4 linked regions of the Canis lupus familiaris genome follow. The protein of the gene in region 1 interacts with the protein of each later gene in a pairwise test. Links are inferred from orthologs where the notes say so. Each region holds a gene or a part of one and is shown in the gene's direction. Other genes may lie near its edges.

Evidence for each region.
Region 2: the proteins of PRKN (region 1) and GPR37 interact in a two-hybrid assay, tested with the Homo sapiens proteins (2 studies listed by BioGRID). The link is inferred for Canis lupus familiaris from reciprocal best matches to the Homo sapiens genes PRKN and GPR37.
Region 3: the proteins of PRKN (region 1) and RAD1 interact in binary tests that used the Homo sapiens proteins (3 or more experiments, as listed by UniProt). The link is inferred for Canis lupus familiaris from reciprocal best matches to the Homo sapiens genes PRKN and RAD1.
Region 4: the proteins of PRKN (region 1) and SYT11 interact in binary tests that used the Homo sapiens proteins (3 or more experiments, as listed by UniProt). The link is inferred for Canis lupus familiaris from reciprocal best matches to the Homo sapiens genes PRKN and SYT11.

The regions. Positions count from the first base shown.
Region 1 is NC_049222.1:51,317,376-51,322,312, reverse strand, and holds part of PRKN (E3 ubiquitin-protein ligase parkin), read left to right. Parts: intron 1-2,057; coding exon 2,058-2,295; intron 2,296-4,937. UniProt on the Homo sapiens protein: Functions within a multiprotein E3 ubiquitin ligase complex, catalyzing the covalent attachment of ubiquitin moieties onto substrate proteins. Substrates include SYT11 and VDAC1.
Region 2 is NC_049235.1:10,977,590-10,983,123, forward strand, and holds the start of GPR37 (prosaposin receptor GPR37), read left to right. Parts: upstream 1-1,803; 5' UTR 1,804-2,627; coding exon 2,628-3,650; intron 3,651-5,534.
Region 3 is NC_049225.1:74,280,885-74,286,272, forward strand, and holds the start of RAD1 (cell cycle checkpoint protein RAD1), read left to right. Parts: upstream 1-1,760; 5' UTR 1,761-2,072; intron 2,073-2,780; exon of another isoform or gene 2,781-2,962; intron 2,963-3,486; exon of another isoform or gene 3,487-3,634; intron 3,635-4,681; exon of another isoform or gene 4,682-4,823; coding exon of another isoform or gene 4,824-5,090; coding exon 5,091-5,134; intron 5,135-5,333; coding exon of another isoform or gene 5,334-5,388. Other genes in the region: DNAJC21 (dnaJ homolog subfamily C member 21), read right to left, coding at 162-194; BRIX1 (ribosome biogenesis protein BRX1 homolog), read right to left, coding at 4,824-5,093, 5,334-5,388. UniProt on the Homo sapiens protein: Component of the 9-1-1 cell-cycle checkpoint response complex that plays a major role in DNA repair. The 9-1-1 complex is recruited to DNA lesion upon damage by the RAD17-replication factor C (RFC) clamp loader complex.
Region 4 is NC_049228.1:41,910,369-41,915,939, reverse strand, and holds the start of SYT11 (synaptotagmin-11), read left to right. Parts: upstream 1-1,887; 5' UTR 1,888-2,161; coding exon 2,162-2,195; intron 2,196-2,887; exon of another isoform or gene 2,888-2,991; intron 2,992-5,571. UniProt on the Homo sapiens protein: Synaptotagmin family member involved in vesicular and membrane trafficking which does not bind Ca(2+). Inhibits clathrin-mediated and bulk endocytosis, functions to ensure precision in vesicle retrieval.

The DNA.
Region 1 (4,937 bases):
AGCTATTACTGCCTAATGAACAACCACAAAAATCCCAGTGCCGTACATCAAATGAGCATCTCCTTCATGTCAACTGGGGGTCCGTGGTGCCAGCCTGCCTCAAGCTGGAAGGCTTTTCTCAAGCTGTAGGTACAGCTGCCCTGGTCCTCTCTGTGGTTGAACACAGGTCTGTGTCAGATGTACACATGGGGCCCTGGCTCAGGAGGTGGAAAGCACCCAGAGGTGCTCTACTGCTGACCACAGCAGTGGTGCAGATACATTTTAAGGCCCTGGTTCAATCATATTGGCCAAAGCCAGTCACGTGACTGAGCCCAAATCAAGTCTAGAAGGAGAGATGGGAGTGAACAGCTCTGATGAAAAATCTCATCTCTCATATATACGATGAAGGAGATGGAAAGGAGATCAAATCATGAGATAGGTGATCTAAAAAAGAGAAAAGTCTAAGCACACCTGAAGATGATAGTAAGATGTCAGATTCTATACAACAGGTAATAGTGAGACATTTGAAAAGGTTATGTCGCACACTCCAGAAACTTGTACATAATAGATGATAGAGGGAGATGGGAGGTCAGGGAGCAATTGCACAGCTACTATAATGATGAAAGCTTAAAATGGGGAGGTGGCAATTGAGAAGTAAAGGAGCAGGAAGATATGAAGGCAATTTCTGAATCAGAATTAGTTGCTCTTGGCACCTTGCTGGATATAATGGTAGGGTGGAGGAGCCCACAGCGGTGATTCTACTGAAGCCATCAGAAGACACAGAAGGATCATCAGAGTTGTAGGTGATGGGGGAGGGCCTGATGCCTGTGTACCATGGAGGAGGGCAGTGCTTCGACAGAAATGGGGACATGAGGTGGGGCAGACTAAGATGGAGATTGAGGACACAGTGACCATGGCTGAGTAGGAGCCACCCTGAGATTCACAGAGCTGTGAGGACAGGTGGCAAGGAAAGCAAGCATGTCCAGGTGACAGAGGCCTGGGGCATGGGGTACAGAAGCAGAAATGGTACTGAGGACCAGAGGGCATCCCAGTGATCTTCTGAGTCCACAAGGTGAGCCTGCAGGAAATGCTGCTGCATGTTGGGCACCCCTCATAAATGTTTGCTGGTGATGGTGATGGAGCTCTGGAGGGAGGATGGGGGCCAGTTATGACTGTTACAAGCATTGCTGTGTTTGCATGGTGTTGTTTGAACATTGCTACGATGAGAGCATGATTGTGGGTAGTTTATAGATATTGAAATTCAGGGATTGATCGAAAGAACGAGGTCCTGGCTCTGCAGGAGGAGGACTGCAGACAGATGAGTGATTTTCCATCCAGTAGATATTCTGAGATGAGGCTTTGATCTCAGGTAGTCTTGTTTTAGCCCTAGCAAATTATCTGACTTCTAACTTTAATTCTAGTAAATTTTACAGTCTTCTGTTCATACACATCAATATATTGATGCAGAGCATTTTTTCACATATTCACTGATTTTAATTGTGATCTTGGATGGATTGGCCTGCGTATGCTGTTCACTTGCTTCCCCATCGCTGTGGTGATGTTTGCTGGTGACATAGGGGATGCGTGTGGAGTCTACCATAAACATGATTTTAAATTGTAGAGAGAAATGCTCTGTAACTGACAATAACCAACCCTCTGTTTATAAAATGGAGATGAATGCCAGTATTTATATCTGAGAATTGGGAGGACACATCACTTCAGAAGTAAATCAATTTTAAAAGAATTTTGCTTTTTGCTGTGCTTATGTGTGCAGTGTGGTACGTTTTTGCCCTATGAGCTCTCGTGTTGCTTTGACTGTTACCCTAGTTTTCTGTTGCTGTGTTCCATGTATCCCCACGTTTTGGTAGCAGGCATGTGTGTGAGTGCCGTGGCCCTGCTGACCCTGTGTCTGCCTCTATCAAACACACATGGCTCTCAAGTTCCATGACTGCTGCAACCTTGGGCCTAAACAGATCTTAGCCTCTTCTGTGGACTCTGGGATGGAGGACAAGTCAAACCTTACTTGGCATTTTAATGATTGCACTTTCTCAGTCTGTGTCTGCCTTGTTCCCACACAGAGCTGTGACCTGGATCAGCAGAGCATCATTCACGTTGTGCAGAGACCCTGGAGCAAAAGCCAAGAAAGGGAGGTCCCTGGAGGAGATGGCCCACGGAAGGCAGTGGAGGGCTCAGACAGAGAGCCTGAGAGCTTAACGCGTGTGGACCTCAGCAGCTCTGTCCTCCCAGCCCACTCGGTGGGTCTAGCTGTGATCCTGAGCGACGACTCTGAGAGGGTTCTGCCAGCCAGAAGACCAGGTAATTGTACAGATTATGTCTACGGCCAATAGAGCACTTTGTGTAGCCGACCTCTGCAGGGAAGGGGCTCAGTATGTACATATTTAATTCATGTAAGGTCTGGATTACTAGAAGGAGGCATCATTAGAAGGATGGCACTTGGCTATAAAATTTGAGGTGAATACATTTAATAAATACAATAGAACAGGGCTTTCAAATTAAGAATGAAGGGAAGGGCTGGAGCAGGTGTCAGGACCATGGTCATGGTATTTTATTTTAGTTATTTTTAAATTTAATTAATTAAGATGAAGCAGGATGCTGGAAATATGATGCATTGAGCTAGGGTCAAAATACATGATTAAGGTGCATCTATATCCCTCCCAGGTTTTGCCTTTCTTTTTCTATTTCTTATTTTCTTAAAATACATTTTGGTTTATTGTGTTTCTGATGATGTAGGGAAATTTCAAAAAACAGAAAGAGAACTTTAGAGGTAACTTTAATCGTGTGCCAGTGCTAAGACATTACAATGTCAATAACACCCGCAGTGTGAACGATGTTTCTGTCTTTCCGTGTTACACCCCATTTTCAAAATGCTTTTATTTAGCAAGGATGGCGATTCCTTTCTTATTTTGCCAATATTAATGTATTTCCCTTAATCTTTTATTTTTATTTTTTTTTAAGATTTTATTTATTTATTCATGAGAGACACAGAGAGAGAGAGAGAGGCAGAGACACAGGCAGGGGGAAAAGCAGGCTCCATGCAGGGATCCCGATGCGGGACTCGATCCCAGGTCTCCAGGTGAAGGTGGCGCTAAACTGCTGAGCCACCCAGGCTGCCCAGTCTTTTATTTTCCGATCTAAATAGTCAAAGGTAGGGGTGCCTGAGGGTACCTGGGTGGCTCTGCCTTGAGCTCAGGTCCTCATCTCAAGGTCTTAGGATCAGCACCCACCCCTCTTCCAACTCCCTGCTCAGTAGGGAATCTGCTTCTCCCTCTCCCTTTGCCCCTCCCCACTGCTGTGCACTCCCAGGTTCCTGCACACACACAGGCTCTCTGTCTCTCTGCCTCTCTGTCTCAAATAAATAAATAAATAAATAAATAAATAAATAAATAAATAAATAAATAAATCTTTTAAAAAAACAGTCAAAGGGGGCAGCCTGGGTGGCTCAGTGGTTTAGCGCCTGCCTTTGGCCCAGGGTGTAATCCTGGAGTCCTGGGATCAAGTCCCATGTCGGGCTCCCTGCATACAGCCTGCTTCTCCCTCTGCCTGTGTCTCTTCCTCTCTCTCCCTGTGTCTCTCATGAATAAATAAATAAAATGTTAAAAAAAAATAGTCAAAGGTATAACAGGATTCTTTTTGCCTGTGTGTGACAGAAAGCACAAAATAATAGCAATGACTTTGTAAAGTATAAGTAAATTTCTCTCCTATATACAGTAAGTGAGGATTATATGAGACATAGGAAAAAATGTAATACATGGGGAAAAATGAGATCCATCTAAAACTCTGCAGCACCCATGTGATCCAGAATGGAAAGTTAATATAAGTATTGGACTCCGATTTATGGTGCATCTGATGTTTCAAGTGGAGCATACATAAAAGCTATTCTAGAGAACATTCAGGTGGCATGGCAGGTCGCTTCCAGAGGGAATCACCCCCTCTTAAAGGGGCACACGTCATCAAACATTACAATTCAAACAAAGAGACATTCTGTCTTGAGTAGAAGTAAGTATATTCCATAAACTGGAAGATTGGTTTCCCCTGAAACTTGAGAAAATAAAGTAACAATTTGAAACAGAACACAAAACAAATACTTTTGATGTTAATTAAAGCATAAAAGAAAAAAATTGAAACCTAAAACAGAATACAACCATAATAGAAGAACAGCTATTAAATAGAACATAATTTTAGCTATTGGAATGAAAAAAAAAAAAAAAAAGTCCTCAGTGGATGGGTTAAAACAGCAAGTTTGGCAATGCCAAAGAGAGAAATTGTCAACTGGAAGATAGAAATGAAGGAGTTGTCCAAAGTGGTACAGGTTAAAATGTAAAACAATGCTTTTAGGAGACTGAAAGTTTGGAAGAGATGGCCAAACATATTTCTGATGAGTTTCATGACAGGAGAATACAGAATAGAAAAGAGACAGTTTTCTAAGAGAATACTGAAAATTTTCCAGTATGTGTAAGTCCTCTGATTCAAGAGTACATGGTCCCAAGCATAATAAAACAAAGAAACACACAATTGGTCTTAATCAAGATGAACAAAAATAAATTCACTTTATAAAGAAAGTAAAGGACCAAGGAAAAAAAGAAGATATTAAAACCAATTGAAGAAGGAGATTACTTATAATAGAACAGTAATTCGAATGGGTCCTGGCAGGAATAATAGAAGAAAACAATATTGGAATAATATCAAATGGCCAAGGGATACACTTGTTAACTTATGGCTCCAAACCCAACAGGCCTAACAAAAATATTGCTCAAGAGTGAGAGGGAAATAAAGACACTTTCAGATGAACACTGAGAGTATTTGTACTCAGTGTGAAAGAACTGTTGAAGTACTCACAACAGCGAGGAATGGGTTTGAACTCAAAGTGACAAAATGGGATATGAGAGATGATGCTCAAAAATACAAGGATAAATACAAGTTTAAATGAACATTGGTAT
Region 2 (5,534 bases), on another chromosome or scaffold:
GAAGCAGGCTCCATGCACCGGGAGCCCGACGTGGGATTCGATCCCGGGTCTCCAGGATCGCGCCCCGGGCCAAAGGCAGGCGCCAAACCGCTGCGCCACCCAGGGGTCCCGACTTGATTTCTTTAATGTTATGGTTATCTTTAGGTTTCTAAAAAATTCTTCCCAACTATTTTTGGTAGTTAATATTTTTCAATAAAATGTTGCTGTCTACATTTTCAGGTTAATTGGTATATCAGTTTATTATTGCTGCTGCAACCAACTCCTACAAACTCAGTGACTTAAAGCAAGCCAAATTCATTGTTTTATAGTTCTGGAGGTCAGAAGTCTAAAATGAACAGGCAGGGACTTTTTCAGCTTCCAGAGATTGCTGCATTACTTGGCTCACTGACTCACTGTGATGGAAAGGAAGCCTGCCCCTGAACCTGCCCTCAAGTCCTACCTCCAACAGTACCTCCTAGAAGGCACCCTGTGAGAGCTGTCTCGGGTGGAGGGCTTGCTGGAGACCTCTCAGGGAGTAAGGGGGAGCCTTGCCCCCTAGCATGGCGGCCTTGCTTCTCCTCAGACTGGAGACCGGTGTCCAGAAGGTACTCGAGAGGAGCCTCAGGACAGCTGCCACCCAGACTCCATAGCCAGTAAATGCTGCCTCTGCTCTGCAAAAATAAAGGTATCTCTGCCACCTGGAAAAAAAAAACAAAACAAAACAAAACAAAACAAAAACAAAAACAAAAAGAAAACAAACAAAAAACCCTCACTCTGACCCTGTAACCTCCCTCTTGTAAGGACCGTTGTGATCTCAGTGGACCCACCTGAATAATAATAATTCATGATACTCTTCCCCTCTCAAGATCTTTAACCGAATCGCATCTGCAAAGTCCCTTTTGCCGAGTCAGATAACATCTTCACGTGTATTGGGAATTAGGCCGTGGGCCTCTTCTGGAGGGCCATTACTCTGTACCTGTCATACTCGGCGTCATGGTTTTCATTGTATTTTCTCCTGTTTTTCTAGATGTTGCCCTTTTTCACTTCAAAACGCATTCATTTCTCCCTCTATCACTTTCTTTTAATCAATCCGCCTGTTTTATATTATAGCCGCCGGTCTCACGAACTAGGCCCCGAGGAGCCGTGGCAGGAGCGCGAGGTCTGGTGCGAAGGCCGCACCTGCACGGCGGGCCGCGCTGTCCCCGTCCGCCCACCTGTCATTCCCACGAGTCCGTCAAACAGAGCTGCTTCCCCAGCAACCCCCGTGGGCCTGCTTCCCCAGTCGGCGTCACAGGTCCCGGCGCCCCCGAACACGTTCGCTGCGCGTCCCACTCTCGGAACTGCTGTCTCTGCGATGGAAACATCCGAGCCTCCTCCTCCTCTCGAGGCCCAGCTCCTGGAAGTCCCGAGGGAGGTGAGCGGCTCACCTTCCTCCTCCCCGGGGCCCGGGAGCCGCCGCGCTGGTTCCGACGTCTGGGGAACCGACGGGGCGCGCCCGGCTCCCGCCCGCGCCTCCGCCCGTGGGGCCTCTCCGCTCCCGGCTCCCACGAGTCAGGTCAAGGCCGCTACAAAGGGCTTGAATGAAACGCGTGTGCGTTTCGCGAGTCGTCAACCGCCAGGGGACCAGCCTCCTCCGCGCACCACGGCATCTCTCGCAGGAGGAGGCCCGGGGCCGAGCGCTGGCTCCCGGCGGCGCGCGCGGACACGGGGGCGGCGGGGCGAGGCCGGCCCCCTCCCTCCCCTCCCCCCTCCCCTCCCCTCCCCTCCCCGGCCGCGCCCCGCCTCGCCCGCGGCCGCTCCAGGCACCGCACTCTCCGCCCGCCTAGCGCCTGCTGTGGCAGCGACGAGCTCCGTCGGCCGCGTCCCCACCCCCGCCACCGAGCCCCTTGCCCGCGAGCCCGCGCCGCCCCCCGGTCAACTTTGAGCGGGAGGAGCAGCAACTTTGACGGTGGCCGCGGGGTTCGGATCCCGCTTCTCCCCGGCAGCAGAAGCCTCGCAGGTCGCTGGCGTTAGGCGGGGCGAGAGTTTCCCCGGGCGCGTCGGCGCAGCGTCCAGCTGTTTGCAACCTGTTTCCAGCGAGCCGGGAGCGGGATGGTGGCTGCCAGTCATCCGCAAAGGGGCAACTCGTTTTTCTCTCCCTGTAGCGACCTCGGCTTACAACTGGATAAAGCGGTTATTGAAAGGGTGTAAAAAGGCAGCGCGACTGTTCCCAACTGGATAAAGCGGTATGGAAAGGAAGTAAATAGGCAGAGCTACTGTTGCCGAGAAGGCAGCCGCCCAAAGGCAGGGAGGAACGTGGGGCTTGGTCCGGGCTTCTCCCAGTCGCAACATTAACCAACAAGCAGGTGCTGGTGGCAACTTTTCAAGGTCGGCCACCGAGAGCAGCGATTCCCCCTCTGAACCCTGGGGATACGCGGCGCTCGGGCTGGATTTGGCTGCGAAATGCACGGGAAGCCGAAAGAGGAAGGATTGTAGAAGGGGAGGGTTTGTGACCCAAGACCCATCCCCCAACCTCTCCGTAATCTCCCGTCCCCCATCGCCGGGGCGGGGGTGAGTATGTGACATGTGTCCGACTCTCAGCAGCAATTTAGGCAGCAGGTGTCGGTGCTAACCGGGAGCCACGCTGCCGGGCGCGCCCTCTGCGAGCCATGCGGGCCCCGGGCGCGCCTCTCGCCCGCACCTCGCGGCTGCTGCTTCTGCTACTGCTCAAGCTCTCCGCCTCGCCTGCCCTCGGGGCCGCTCCTTGGCCCGGGAACGAGGCTTGCCTAGGACAGAACTGTTCGCCTGCACTGAGCCAGCGCCGCAGCAGGGACGCGTGGGGACGAAGTTCTGCAGGGGACCCTCTGCTAACCCGAGCGCCCAGGGAGAAGGAGCCGGAGCCGGCGGCGCGCGCGGCGCCCTGGCGGGACCTCAGGGCTGCCCGGGGCGGTGACCCAGGTGCGGGGACAGGGCCGGAGGTGTCGGCCGCGGAACCCTCGGGACCTCCCGCCAGACCCTCTGGAGCCTGGAGGTGGAGAGGGGCCCGGGGCCAGGAGCCCCCCGGAACTTTGGGAAGAGGGAACCCCCCGGCTCTCCAACTCTTCCTTCGGAGCTCAGAGGGGGCAGAGAAGGGTCCTAGAGGCGCTGGCATTTCTGGGCACAGCCAGGAGCCGAGTGTGAGGACAGAACCTGCAGCCAGCGACCTTTATTACTGGCCAAGGAGAGGCGGGAAACCCCAGGGTGCCCACCACGACCCCCCACCCAAGACGGTCGATGGACCGTCGGGGCACGAAGGGCGGACGATCGCACCCCCTGGCAGGGCGCTGGCCCAGAATGGGTCCTCAGGGGAGGGCGTCCACGAGCGCGGGGGGCTCCGCCGGGGGAACAGCACGCACCGGCGCTTGCGACTGAAGAACCCCTTCTACCCGCTGACCCAGGAGTCCTACGGAGCTTATGCGGTCATGTGTCTGTCTGTGGTGATCTTCGGGACCGGCATCATTGGCAACCTGGCGGTGATGTGCATCGTGTGTCACAACTACTACATGCGGAGCATCTCCAACTCCCTCCTGGCCAACCTGGCCTTCTGGGACTTTCTCATCATCTTCTTCTGCCTTCCGCTCGTCATCTTTCACGAGCTGACGAAGAAGTGGCTGCTGGAGGACTTCTCTTGCAAGATTGTGCCCTATATCGAGGTAATAATGTCTTCCAGGGGGTCTCAAACTACTGGCTTTACCCATTTCGGGGATGTATAGCATCCCAATTGCTGCTCCACGCACCCACCTAGCTGCTGAACCCCTTTACTTTTTTTCTGGGGCCTCCTCCGCTTCTCCTGTCAATCATTAAGAGAGAGAAAAAGAGAGAGGCAGCTTTGTTTGCTCACTTTCAAACTCTTCTGCTCCTGGATTTTGAAATAATTATGTTTTCATCATGTATAGAATTGTTTACATTTTAAATTGATCCCTCCGAATATGGCATTTATATATAGCCTTGATTTGGCACCAGAGAGTCGAGGGTTAATAAATGGCCATTGTGTGGTTGTCATTACCAGAACTCAGCAGCAACAACCAAAAATCATGTATTGTTTCTCAAGTAGTGCTCCAACATGATTTTTTTCCCAAGGAGATTATTGAATCTTTCTTAAATATCAAAATGGAAATACTATTTTATTTAACAAAGGAAATCTGCCTTTGTCAGTTGGCTTCATGATATATTAATAACCTCCCAAATTAGTTTAAGTGTCCTTTGGCAGTCTGCCATGCTATCCCATCTAAATTCTTATGTCATTTCTTATTTCTCTCCTTTTCCTTCTCAATTTCTTAACAGTTTTATTTATTTTTTATGGATGAGTTTAAGCAAAGAATAACACTTTGGCCATCATGGCACTGAATTTGCATACATATACATATATATATATATATATATATATATATATACACACACACACACATACATATATATTTGAGCATGCATATATAGTATGTACTTGTCACTTGTTAGGATATAATGGATTGGTTATTTTAAGGGATTAGCTAAGAGTAGAAAAATTTTTTAAGAAGAAGGGGGGCATATAATAGGTTCCAAACTTTGGAGACAAAAATATTGCTGAGTAAAATTTTATTTTTTCATCGTACAGCTAGTGTCCTGGACCGTTATTATGGTAGTTGGTATTTGCTCTTTAAATGGCCTCTCTTTAAACACCAGCTCTTGGAAGGAGCCCAAGTGCTTTGTTGCCAGTTGTGTTTTTAGCCAGCTGGCCCTTGATTTCCTCCATTCAGACTGCCCATTTCATTTATGGAAGCAGAAGAAGGGAAACTGTAAATATTCCAGAGCCCCTGATCCTGTCTGGCACCAGAGCCAGTGACACTATGTTCAACATTGTTCCAGGGCTCAAAGCTAGGAGATAAGTAAACAGAAAACAGTACCTACTTAGACGAACAAGGGAAGAGATAGTAAATAAGACCCTCTGTTATCCTGGCAGGGATCAGATGCAGAATCATTCCATACTGGCTAAACCAGCTGTTGCTACTTTACCAAAACCTAGGGTTTCTTTTGTTGCCAGGCTCCATGTAGCTCTGAAATATCTATTTTATTTGTAGACAGTTCATTTTTTAATTGCAGCGGAGGTAGTTGAATTTATGTAAAAGAGATGTATCTATCAATTGCCTTTTCAAGGTCAATGTTTAAGATCTCTCTGATTGTTTTCTTGAATAATACAGAAGAAATTGACATATGCAAGAATGAGACAAAAGTAAACTATAAAGTGAACAGGAGAGTTACCCCCAGTAACAGAAGTGTATTGGCTTGTCTAAAATGGGCATGATGAAGGCTTTATATATTAGAGGAAAAAACAAGGTAAAGAGGACAGAAAAAAGAAACTGGGGAAAGAAAAAAAAAGTTACTCAGTTCTTTAAAAAACCTTCAAAAGAAAGGAATTCCATCCAAATTCAGAAAAGAATATAAAAACTTTGGTAAGTTTATGAGACCTAAGAGTTTTGAGTGATGGTATTTATCATGTATGTCTTTTAATTTTCTTTCTCTTTAGCTCTGATTATTTTTAAATATGTGTTTTCATTTTT
Region 3 (5,388 bases), on another chromosome or scaffold:
TTCAACCCCAGACGTTACCCTTTGACCATTTGGGTCCCAAGCCCCTCCTTCAGCTCTTCTCTCAACACATATTTTCAGATTTCCAATAAATACTGTCCTCAAACTGCCCCTGGACCATCTCTGGTCCACCATGATGCTGTTGCCTCTACTTTTAAGCTTACCTTTCCCAGTTCCATTCCTCTAGGATCCAGCATAAATCTAGGCTCCTCTGCCAAGGGGAAGCCTCACTGCCTCTCAGGACACAGTGAAAAAACTTCGTCCCCAGAATGCCTGGGGCATTTGTTAGTTGTTCTACGAATCCAACTACCAATTGTGTGTGTTGTGCTGTTTTGTTTGCACTTGTATTTAAGATTTCACGGCTTAGGTACAGCATGTTTTCCCAGCAAGACTCTTGGGATCTCTAAGCACTTCAGAATCTTCCTCTGGTGCCTTGTATATACTGGAGGTTCTAGCGCTAATACGTAAACCTCTCAGAAGCCTCAAAAAGCTGAGGTTCAACGACAGCCCTTAGTTTCCCAGTCCGAAACCTCCCAGGAGCCTGACCTACCACCAAATAAAACATCCAAAGGAAGCGTACTTCTAAGTACACGGGCAAGCTTCGCGAGGGAAGCCACCGCCTTCAAAGTCTCGGTCTGCAGGACACCCGAAGGGGAGTCCGGGTCTGAATTTCAACGGTTACCGGGAAAGGAGTCGGGGCGGGGGGGGGGGGGGGGGGGCACAGCTACTTAACAGACAGCCTGGATTTCAGTAAGCGGCCAGGCTTCACGCCTGGGCAGCCGGGATTCGGCGATGAAGCTACGGGCAGCTACGGGCAGCTACGGGCAGCTACGGGCAGCTAGGCGGCCGGGACCAGGCGCTCGGGGCCCCGGCCCCCGGGAGGAGCGGGGAAGGCGCTAGAAGGCGCTGCGGGCTGCGGGCGCGGGCGCGGGGCGGCCGGGAGGGGCCGGGAGGGGCCGCGGGCGCGGGGGCTCCGGGGCAGCCGGGCCGAGGATGCGGCGGGCGGCGGGCGGCGGGCGGCGGCAAGGGCTCTGCGCAGCGGCACCTGGCCCGAGCCCGAGCCCGAGCCCGCGGGAGGTCGGGGCCGCCCAGGGCCCCGCAGTTATTCGGGCTGCGAGGGCTGCGAGGGGTGGCGGGGGCCCGGCTCGTAGTTACCCGGGTGCCATTTCAGGGCCAGCTTCCGATAGGCCTTCTTGAGCTCCTCCTCGCTGGCGTCGCGCCGCACCCCCAGCGCTTCGTAGTGACACTTCATCGCCGGGCCGGGCAGGGCGCCGGGGCCGGGGCCGGGGCCGGGGCCGGGGCCCGGGGCGGGGCGGGGGCCCGGGCCCGGGCCGAAGGGGCGGCGGCGGCGGCGGCGGCGCTGCTGGGCCTCCTCGGCAGCGGGAGCCCAGCGCCCGCACCGGGCCAGCCAGCGAGCGCGGCGGCGGCGGCGGCGGCGGCGGCGGCAGCAGCGCGGGGCGGCGGAGGCGCGCGACGGCCACAGGCGGCGCGGGCTGCGGCAGGCGGGCGCGCGGAGGGGGCGGCGCCGGCGGCCGCGGCTCCGCATGGGCTGGGGGCGGGCCCGGTTCCCGGAAGGCTGCGCGAGGCGGAGGCGGGGCCCGGACAGGTGGGAGGCGGGGCCTGGATAGGCGGGAGGCGGGGCCCGGCCGGGCGGGAGGCGGGGCCTGGACAGGTGGGGGCGGGGCCCGGACAGGCGGGAGGCGGGGCCCGGGCGGGCGGGGGCGGGGCCCGGACGGGCGGGGGGCGGGGCCGCGGCGGGCGTCATAGTGAGCGGCACAGTGGGCCGTCTGTGTAAGGAGCGCCAAGAGGGCAGCCTGCCCGAGGCTGATGGGGAGTCTGATGGGAGATTCTGGAAAACACCTTGTTTTCTGAAGATAATTTCTCAGTGGAGCCCCGTTTTTAGAGGAGGCAACTCGGACTCCAAGTAGTCGAGTGGTTCATTCAGGCCTCCCCAACTGCTCAATGGCAGGATTCAGGTGGACCCAATACCGGGTGTAACTCTTCAGTTCTCTCCAGCCGCCACTCATCGAGATCTCTAATACTGCTCAATCTGACCAATATGCAGAGAAATAACGGTAAATATGATGGCCTAAATTGGAACAGTGGGAGACAGCATCAACACATTTTTTAAAACATACCAAATGTTTTACCTCCAATATGGGTAAAATTGTGCTAACCCATCCATCCATTCCTCTCTAATCCTAACTTTCTGGTTTCTAATCCTACATTTCCTAGTATTTAACCATTTTTTCCTTGATCTAACTGATAAGAGTATTACAGGATGGGAGATCCCTACAACTGTTCCAAACAATTTGATAAGGTATCAAAATAGTATTCTAATTATCATTTAAATATGTTGGTGAAATATGCACACCAATGTATTTCATTGTAATGTGGAATGTTTACATACATCAGTTGTTAGGTGTCGGTTTCGTCAACCATGCATAAAGAGGTTTGGCTCTATTGCTAACATCTATTGTACAAGGTGGTCCCTCGTTTCCCTAATACTCTGCCCTATCAATCAAGACCAACCAACCCTAAACCTCATCAAGTTTTTCCACACCACTATTCAACCAACTCATACTCAAAATTCATACACCTGCCTCCTTTTCAAAGAAGGAAGATACCACACACCACCTTAGTTTGTAAATCGGCAATGGATAGTTGAGTTTGAATACAGGGCAAAATAGAAACTCTCCCCATTTGAGAATGGCTTTGCGGTAGGAATAAAACGTGGCTAAGAAAATAACTTTTTTCCCCCAACTACATCTGGTTTTGTTTAGGACTTGTGAGTCACCTGCCTTTTTCCTCCTGAGAGAAGAGGGAACTCTTTTTGCCTGTAACATTGTACAGCAACGTAAAGACAATTACACTGGATATAAATTTGTTTAAAGAATTACCTTTGTTAAACGAGTTGGCTTCTAAATGAACATGGACTATAAAGACGAATTCTCATTCAAATGAGGTACTCCTATAAATGACTGTAAAAGGGAAGTAATTTGGGACAGGAAAATATGTAGAAACTGATAATCAAAATTGTAAAAAAAAAAATCCATGAAAACTCTACAACACACACCTCAGAATATGTTAAAAGTTTGGGTCTTCACTCAAACTCACAACTTGTTGAGCCAGTTTATTTTATAACCTATAATTAACTTCTTGAGATGTGAGTATTTAAATTCAAATCCTGAATTACAGCTTTTCATCCCGGGCTATATTCAATTGCTGAAATAAATCAGCTTTTTCTCCCCCTGCACTTAACCAGATTTGGTCTTCATTACCAGACACAAGTATTTTAAGTGAACCTCTTAAAAAAAAAAAAAAAGTGAACCTCTGAACTGACCTACCTGCTTAATATGAATTGCAAGATAAGTAGCCTAATTTAGACTATTTCAAAATAAAGTGGCCTCATTGTACAATCAAGGCCTTTCTTTGAAAAAAATTAAGAAAAAATGAAATATAATAGAAAATCAATTGTTCTGTCTACAGATTTAAAGAACAAAATTAAAATACAAGTGAGGAACCGGGAAAGATGTATAGAATAACTCAGCCATAGAAGAGCTCTTACAAATTAGTAAAAGAGAACTACAAAAACAAGATTAGTAACAAAAGAAAAACTATTATCTTCCCCAAAAAGGTATTCTTTTTTAACTTACCAAACTGACAATGATTATTTCACTGTTGTCAAGTGTCATTATTTCACTGTTGTTTTAAGTATATGAACTCTGACCTCTGGTGAAATACAAAATGTCTTAACATTCGTATCTTTTGACTTGAGTTCCACTTATACGAAACCACAAGGGTGATATAAAATAATTTACGTCAAGAAATGTTTGCTATAAGCACCCATAAGTTAATAACTGAAATATCCCACAATAGGGGATAGATTGTATAGTTACGGCATAGAGTGGAATACTATGCAATTAGTCATGTTCTATAATAAAGACATGGGGAAATGATTAATATGAAATAAGTGGGTCACAGAACAATACACACATGATCCAATCCTGTTATGGATATGTGTATGTAAATCAGTCTGCCTCTTCAGCAGCTACCTGTCCATGGCCGCTAACACCCAGAATCTTGTCTTTCCCTCTTACTAACTAACCTCCAGGATATAAGCTTCCTGCTTTCTGCCTCAAACAGTTCTTTCATCAGGAGAGAAACTCACATGTTCCAGTACCCTCTAACTACTGTTCCATTTTCCTTCCTCTTAATTATTAACTCAAGCAATTTATACCCACTGCTTCTAAATTAAATTTGTAATCTACAAAATACTTTCAACACATATATTAAATCCTTTGATTCTCTAAACCTAAGAATTTTTATTGTGCTCTTTCTTGAGGTGAGAAAAAAGGATCAGGGATTACCTTTTCCAAGGCCTCTTGCATTGGTGACTCAGGGACTCCGATCTCAGTAAGATGTTTTTTCTTTCTACCAGTCTATCTGCAGGTTACCGTCCGAAATTATGCTCTCAAAGTGCCTAAAATTCGTTGTTTTACAAGTAGCAAATGACCCAGTAAATCTGTTTCAATTTCAGCTTTGCTAAACCCAAAATTTAAATCCAAGAAATCAAGGCTAAACCTGAAGTATGCTGAATTTTAAGTAATATCAAACTAGCTTTGAAAAGAAAAATAAATTAATTGATGAGTTCTGGTAATATTTAGAAAAACATACACACCACTGAAGCCACGAAGTTTAATTTGGTTTTTCTGTCTTAAATGCCACACTAATGAGATGTAAGGTAGTCCTGGATAATAAAACCGTATTTACACACTGAATACAAAATAAATATAAAATTACTGAAAAGTTAGTTATCCACTGATTCATTTTGCACTGCCACTGTTCATCTTCTGTTTCATTTTTCTTTGCCTTTTGTAAATCCTTTTCTTTCTTGCCTTCAAATCCACTTTTGGCTCTGGTTTTACCCACTGTATTTCTATCGGCTTTTCATCAGCTGGTATAACAAAAACATCAGCAGTGGGATCGTGTGGAAGAATAGTCTTTGGTTCTTTCTTTTTCATTTTCTGTGCATCTTTCACTTGTTGTTTCTCTTTGTATTTTGCAGCTGTGATGGATCTTATGATACGCCGATGCTAAAAACAAAAAAAAATATCAGATGCATTCCAAATATATGGTGAGAACATTCACTTACACATTTTTTCCCCCTTCATTCTTGTCATTAAAAAAAGTAGTAATTTGCAAAAATGTGTGCAGAAAACAACAACAACAACAACAACAAATTTAGTTTCATACTTAACAGAAATCGCTTGACAGAATCATTCTGGCCAGAGTTCTGGGCATTGAGGGACCACCAAACAGCAAAAATAGCTTACCATGTTTGGTGACTGGTAGTTAGGATTTTCATATAAAGTTGGTCCTCCAAAACTT
Region 4 (5,571 bases), on another chromosome or scaffold:
ACCCGACCCCTCTGCCCGGAAGCCCAGTTCCCACCTGCCTCTTCCCGCCCCACCGCACGCGCCCTGCCACCCTCACCAGCCGGCCAGCTCCCGCGGAAATCCAGCTCCGCCAGCGCCGGAAGTCGGCCAACGGCAGCGCCGGACGTGCGCGCCCCCGAGCGGCGGTGCGCGGCGCCAAGCCGCCAGGGAGCATGCGCCAAGCCCCCAGGCCCCATGTTAGGTGAGGGCGGACTGAAGCCGGCGCGTCCGACGTTTGCGAAAGACTTTAAAAGCGAGATTCCTTCTCGCTTTCTCTGTACGCGCAGCGATCCTACTCAAAATAAGGCTGGACTTTGCGACTCGGTGGTGTGCTTTGACAACTCTTCGTTCCCGCCGCGAAATACCTGGAACGCGGAACCGAGGAAGTGGCGAATTCATAAAATTGCAGGAAAAAGACCCCCGGGCTTGTACCAATAGTGCGGGTTCCCCAATAAAATGGGGGCAGGCTTGGACTCAGCCCGCAGTGATCGCTGCGGTCTGCATAATGCTCTTAATTCCATAAAATGCTTTCAAGTAAGTTATCTTAGGTGACCTGATCCTCGCAGTAGCCCCGGGGGATAGTGGCTATTACACCCTCCCCCGCGTACGGAACACACTCCTGGCTCGGCGGGGTAGGTGATTGCACACATGCAGCTGTGGAGGGACCTCAGGTGCCCTAACACGGCTCAGCTGGTCAGGTTCTTAAACACACACAGCTGTCCAAGGACCTCAGGTGTCCTAACTCTGGCTCGGCTGGGTAGGTGGTTCCACGCACACAGTTGTCGAGGGACCTCAGGTGTCCTAACTCCGGCTTGGCTGGGCAGGTGATTGCATACACACACCTGTTGAGGGACCGCAGGTGCCCTAACTCCAGCTCCTGACATGCCAGGTCCAGCGCTTGGAAAGGCGCCCGGGATGGAGTGCTGTTTATTAATCCAACACACGGGGTTTGAATGAATGCATGATTCCTAGACCCACGTTCTCTCCACTTTTCTGGAAGGACAGAATGTCGAAGCTGAAACAATACACCCAACCATCTCCGTTTGCAGGTACACCACCAACAGCTACTCATGCGTTTAAATAATTTGACCTGATCCTGTCTGTAAACAGGATGAAAGCGTCCACAGCCAAAGAGAAGAGGGAAATTGCGGTAATCGTGCAGACGACTGCCAGGAGTCTACAACCTGAATCACCCTGCCTCTCCCAATGCCAAGGAAGTCTCTAGAAGCTTGGAGTTTCCTCTGTATCCTGCTCTTCAACCTGCAGGATATACAGTTCTGTCGGTTTCCTTGCTGGCTCTGCCCTTGTGTCTCCTTCTCTGACCCCCTATAAGCCCTTGGAAGTTTTTGTAAGAGGAATACCCAACACGGGTTAACTCTGACACACCTCATTAGTCTTTTTTAAAAAACAGCTTTCATTTACACCACAAAATCCATCCGTAGATGGATTGCAGAATTGTTCTACAAGTATCCCCAGTAAGTTTCCAGAGTTGTGCAACCATCACCTGGTTTAGTCTTTAATCAGAGCTTCTGAAGTTTAAGAAAGTTTCCATAATAACATTTAGTAGTTTCAGAAATGCACAATAATGGCAAATGATACTGAAATGCAGACAGTATACAATTTTCTTTTTCCAAAATACTAGGTTCCGTCACCCTGAACATTCTGCTGCTGTATTAAGCCCCGGGAACCGGAACCACAGGATCTATAGAACTGCATAGGGAAAGACACCTACAGCTCTCAGACCACCCCACCCATCCGCGGTCCGCCGGTGGGCTGGGTCTCCCTCTCCAGAAATCTCGGCGGTCCCCTCGCCGGGAGCTTCCGGGGCGGGGCCTGGCTCCCGGAACTCTTCGGGCGGAGGCGGAGTCTCCTGCCGAGGGCCGCTCGGAAGAGGGCGGGGCCTACCCGCATCAGGACCAGTCTGGCTGCACCTGCATCCTTCCGCTCAGAGCATCCCCGGAGCATCTTAGGAGGCGGCCGCAGCTGGCAGTCAGGGGCCCGACCGTCGCAGGAGGTGTCCGCCAGACACCTTCCCCCTCCCCTGAGCTGGCCCTCTACAGCGGCGGCCTCGGTGCTGACCGGGCGCCCCCAGACTCGTCTGATCCCTGAAAAAGCATACATAGCAATAGCCTCTGATTACGACATGGCTGAGATCACCAATATCCGACCTAGCTTTGGTAAGTAGAGTGCGGACAACTAAAGCCTGGGGCCGTGGGCACCGCCGCACAGCCAGGGGCGCCCAGTGCCGGGAGGGAGCGAAGCCCACCCCAGGGCCTTCAGGGTCGGACCCGCTAGGATTGGGCCTGCGACGGCGAGCGGCGCCAGAACTTGAGCTGCGGGTGCAGGGGCCAGCCAATCCGGGGGTCCCCGGGGGTCGCCGGGGGTCGCGGGTCGCGCGGAAACCTGTGTGGCCCGAGTCGGCGCTCTGCAGGGGAGGAAGGGAGGAGGATGAGGACCTCTCCCCCTCGGGGCGCTCAGGGCGGTGCCCCCTGCTCCCCCTCCCATTCCTCGGGCTGCGGGGGAGGGCAGCGGCGGGGGATGGGCGCCAAGATGGCATCTGGGGGGCTGGGGGGCCGGGGGCCAGCGGCCCGCTGCGGGGAGCCGAGGCTGCGGGGGCGCCAGGAGCTGCTGCCCAGCGGGCGGGCGGGGCGCGGGGCGCGGGGCGCGGGGCTGGCGGCCGCCCAGGGCCCCCAAGTGCGGTTCTGCACCGTAATGGTGGGTCCGTCCGATGCTACCAAATGGCGCTTGGCGCTGCCGAGCTAGGGATGACGTGATGTCTATTCTGGGCCTCCTGGCAGCGCCCAGGCCCCTCTTCCCGGGCCTTTGTTCCCTGTTTCCCTGGCCTGGCCTTTCCGAAAGGGGGACTCACCGCGCCGGTGCTGGCGAGGGCGCGGACCAGGCCGGGGGGAGGGGCGGAGAGGCCGGGCCGGAGGGAGGCCGCTTTGTGTACCCTGCAAGGCATTACGTCACCGCGGAGCGGCTGGTCCCCGACCCGGGCCTCTGGGCTGTGATCCCGGCTGTGCTCCCAGGAGCAGAGAGCCCGGTGGAAAATATGGAGGAAGACGCGAGAGAAAAGCTGAAAAAGCAAGTTTTTTCCTCTTTGGGGCTTCCTCCAAAATGTGCTAGGGTTGCAAACTTCCTGGGCTATGTTTTCCTGGTTCAAAAATAAAGGAGTTACCCTGTTTCTCCCTCCTTTTCACCTCAGCTTGGATGAGAGCCCCAGGTTCCTTCAAATCCCCTAAAAGAGCACATCCTTCAGGCAATCCAGAAGGTTTGAGCATCCAGACAACAATTTTTAGGGCGGGGCCACAATCCAACTAGGAAATGGCTTTTCTCCTTCCCCAGTAAGAGGTTGGTGGAAATGAGCAGAACCCCATGAGCTCTCCCACCTCAAAATCAGGAAGAAGATATCAGATCAGGGGAAGTATCCAAAAAACAGATCACACCCATTAGCTACTGGTTCTTACTGATTCCCCAAGGCTAAATCTTAGTGGTATCTCTTTTTTCCACTTCACCTTCTGCATCTCTACCTTTGAGTCCTACATTTCCAAAACTAATGTCCCTTTTGTGGTCACATGAGCACTCCATGATTTTCTTCCTGTTCTTTCTCTTTTGTCTTATGCCTTCTATCCAACATATTCTTTTCTCTAATTGCAGTCCCAGATTCCTTGGAAAGTTAGAAGGTGTGGAGCATGATATAGTAGTTTCCTTTAGAGGGAATATTAATGGAAAAGAGAAAAATTATTTCAGCATTTTACCTACTCCATTTTATTTAATCCTTACAATATCCTCCAGTGTAGGCATTATTATATATATTTGCCAGATGAGGAAACAGGTTCAGTGAGACAAAATAATGAATCAAGTCAAACAAACAGCAAGGGTAGCACAAAGACTTAAACCAAAGTCCAGCTTATGCCAAACTCCATTGTCATTTCACTGTGTCACTCTGGCCCACTTGACAGGAAAGGCTATAGTAGAGGGAGTGTCAATAGCAGGTCTAGTCAAAGGCTGAGAGACCTAGGCACAGCCTAGATATGTCTTACAGATCTTTAGATGTATACAGGGGTACTACATAGAGAGCTGCCATTTCTGATTTTCTCACATTTCATAGAGTACTTCATTTCAAAGGCTTTAGCTCTTTGGAGGTACACCAAGCCAACACTCAATTATCCATGACCTTGGAGGACAAAAGGAGCAAGCAGCACAGTCACTGCAATTTATGACTACTTTAAAGCACTCACTTTAGCCATCAGTTCCACTTCCTTTTCCCACCAAGCTTTTGATGAAAGCAAAATAGAGGGTTCTGAGTTTCAGCATCTCTGATTTTTCTAGTTCATTGTCTTGGGTGTGAGGGAGAGAGGCAGGGGTTAACAGATACCGAAATGAAGAAAGAGGGGGGAACCCTGGGTGGCGTAGCGGTTTGGCGCCTGCCTTTGGCCCAGGGCGCGATCCTGGAGACCCGGGATCGAGTCCCACGTCGGGCTCCCGGTGCATGGAGCCTGCTTCTCCCTCTGCCTGTGTCTCTGCCACCCCCCCCCTCTCTCTCTGTATGACTATCATAAATAAATAAAAATTAAAAAAAAAAAAAGGAAAGAGGGGCAAAAGTGGGAAAACAGGTGGAGGAGAGAGAGCCTGGATCGTCCACAGATGGCTTCATAGGTTTGTCTTCCTTATCTGTCCTCCTGAAACGTGAGAATCCCTCCTCTTCTTTTCCCATCCCGCCTCCATTTTCTTTTTTTCTTTTTTCTTTTTTAAAGATGTTATTTATTCATGAGAGACAGAGAGAGAGAGAGAGAGAGAGAGAGAGAGAGAGAGAGAGGCAGAGACACAGGCAGGGGGAGATCAGGCTCCATGCAGGGAGCCTGATGTGGGACTTGATTCTGGGTCTCCAGGATCAGGCCCTGGGTTGAAAGCGGCACTAAACCGCTGAGGCACCTGGGCTGCCCCAGACTCCATTTTCTAACAGCATGTGTGGAGGCATCCTAAACCCTAGAGTGGGCTCTCTGAAGACCACAGAATAAATCTATGATAGAGCCAAAAGGATCACTCAGATGTCTCCCAGCCTGGGCCATTAGATCTCTCTTACAAACTATTCTCAAAAATGCACCTGTCTTGTTGGTTCCTTGCTTTCCTCTTCTCATGGAGGCAATCTGTGTTCACTGTCATTAATCAGTAGCAAGCAATTTTCAGGAAAGTCCCTGATTGATGAGCAGAGAGCCACTTTTTCAGACTGTGCCCATTTTCATTGACCATTGAGTCCAATCAGTTTTTCAAATATTTACTGAGCTCTTATTAGATGCAAAGACTCAGGGACTCAGAGATGGACAGGATGTTATTTCCACCAGGTTTTTTTTTATTTTTTTATTTTTTTAATTTTTTTCCACCAGTTTTCAAGGAGCTTCCTACCTAGGAGCTTCCTACCAAGGCCGCTCCCATTTTGTGAAGCCTGTCCCTAGCAACTCTTATTTCACTTAATATCTGAGAAACACTATAGTTATTTAGTATGGCCATGGACATAGTTGCCTTCATTTATTTTGTTAATGGCTTTACTCT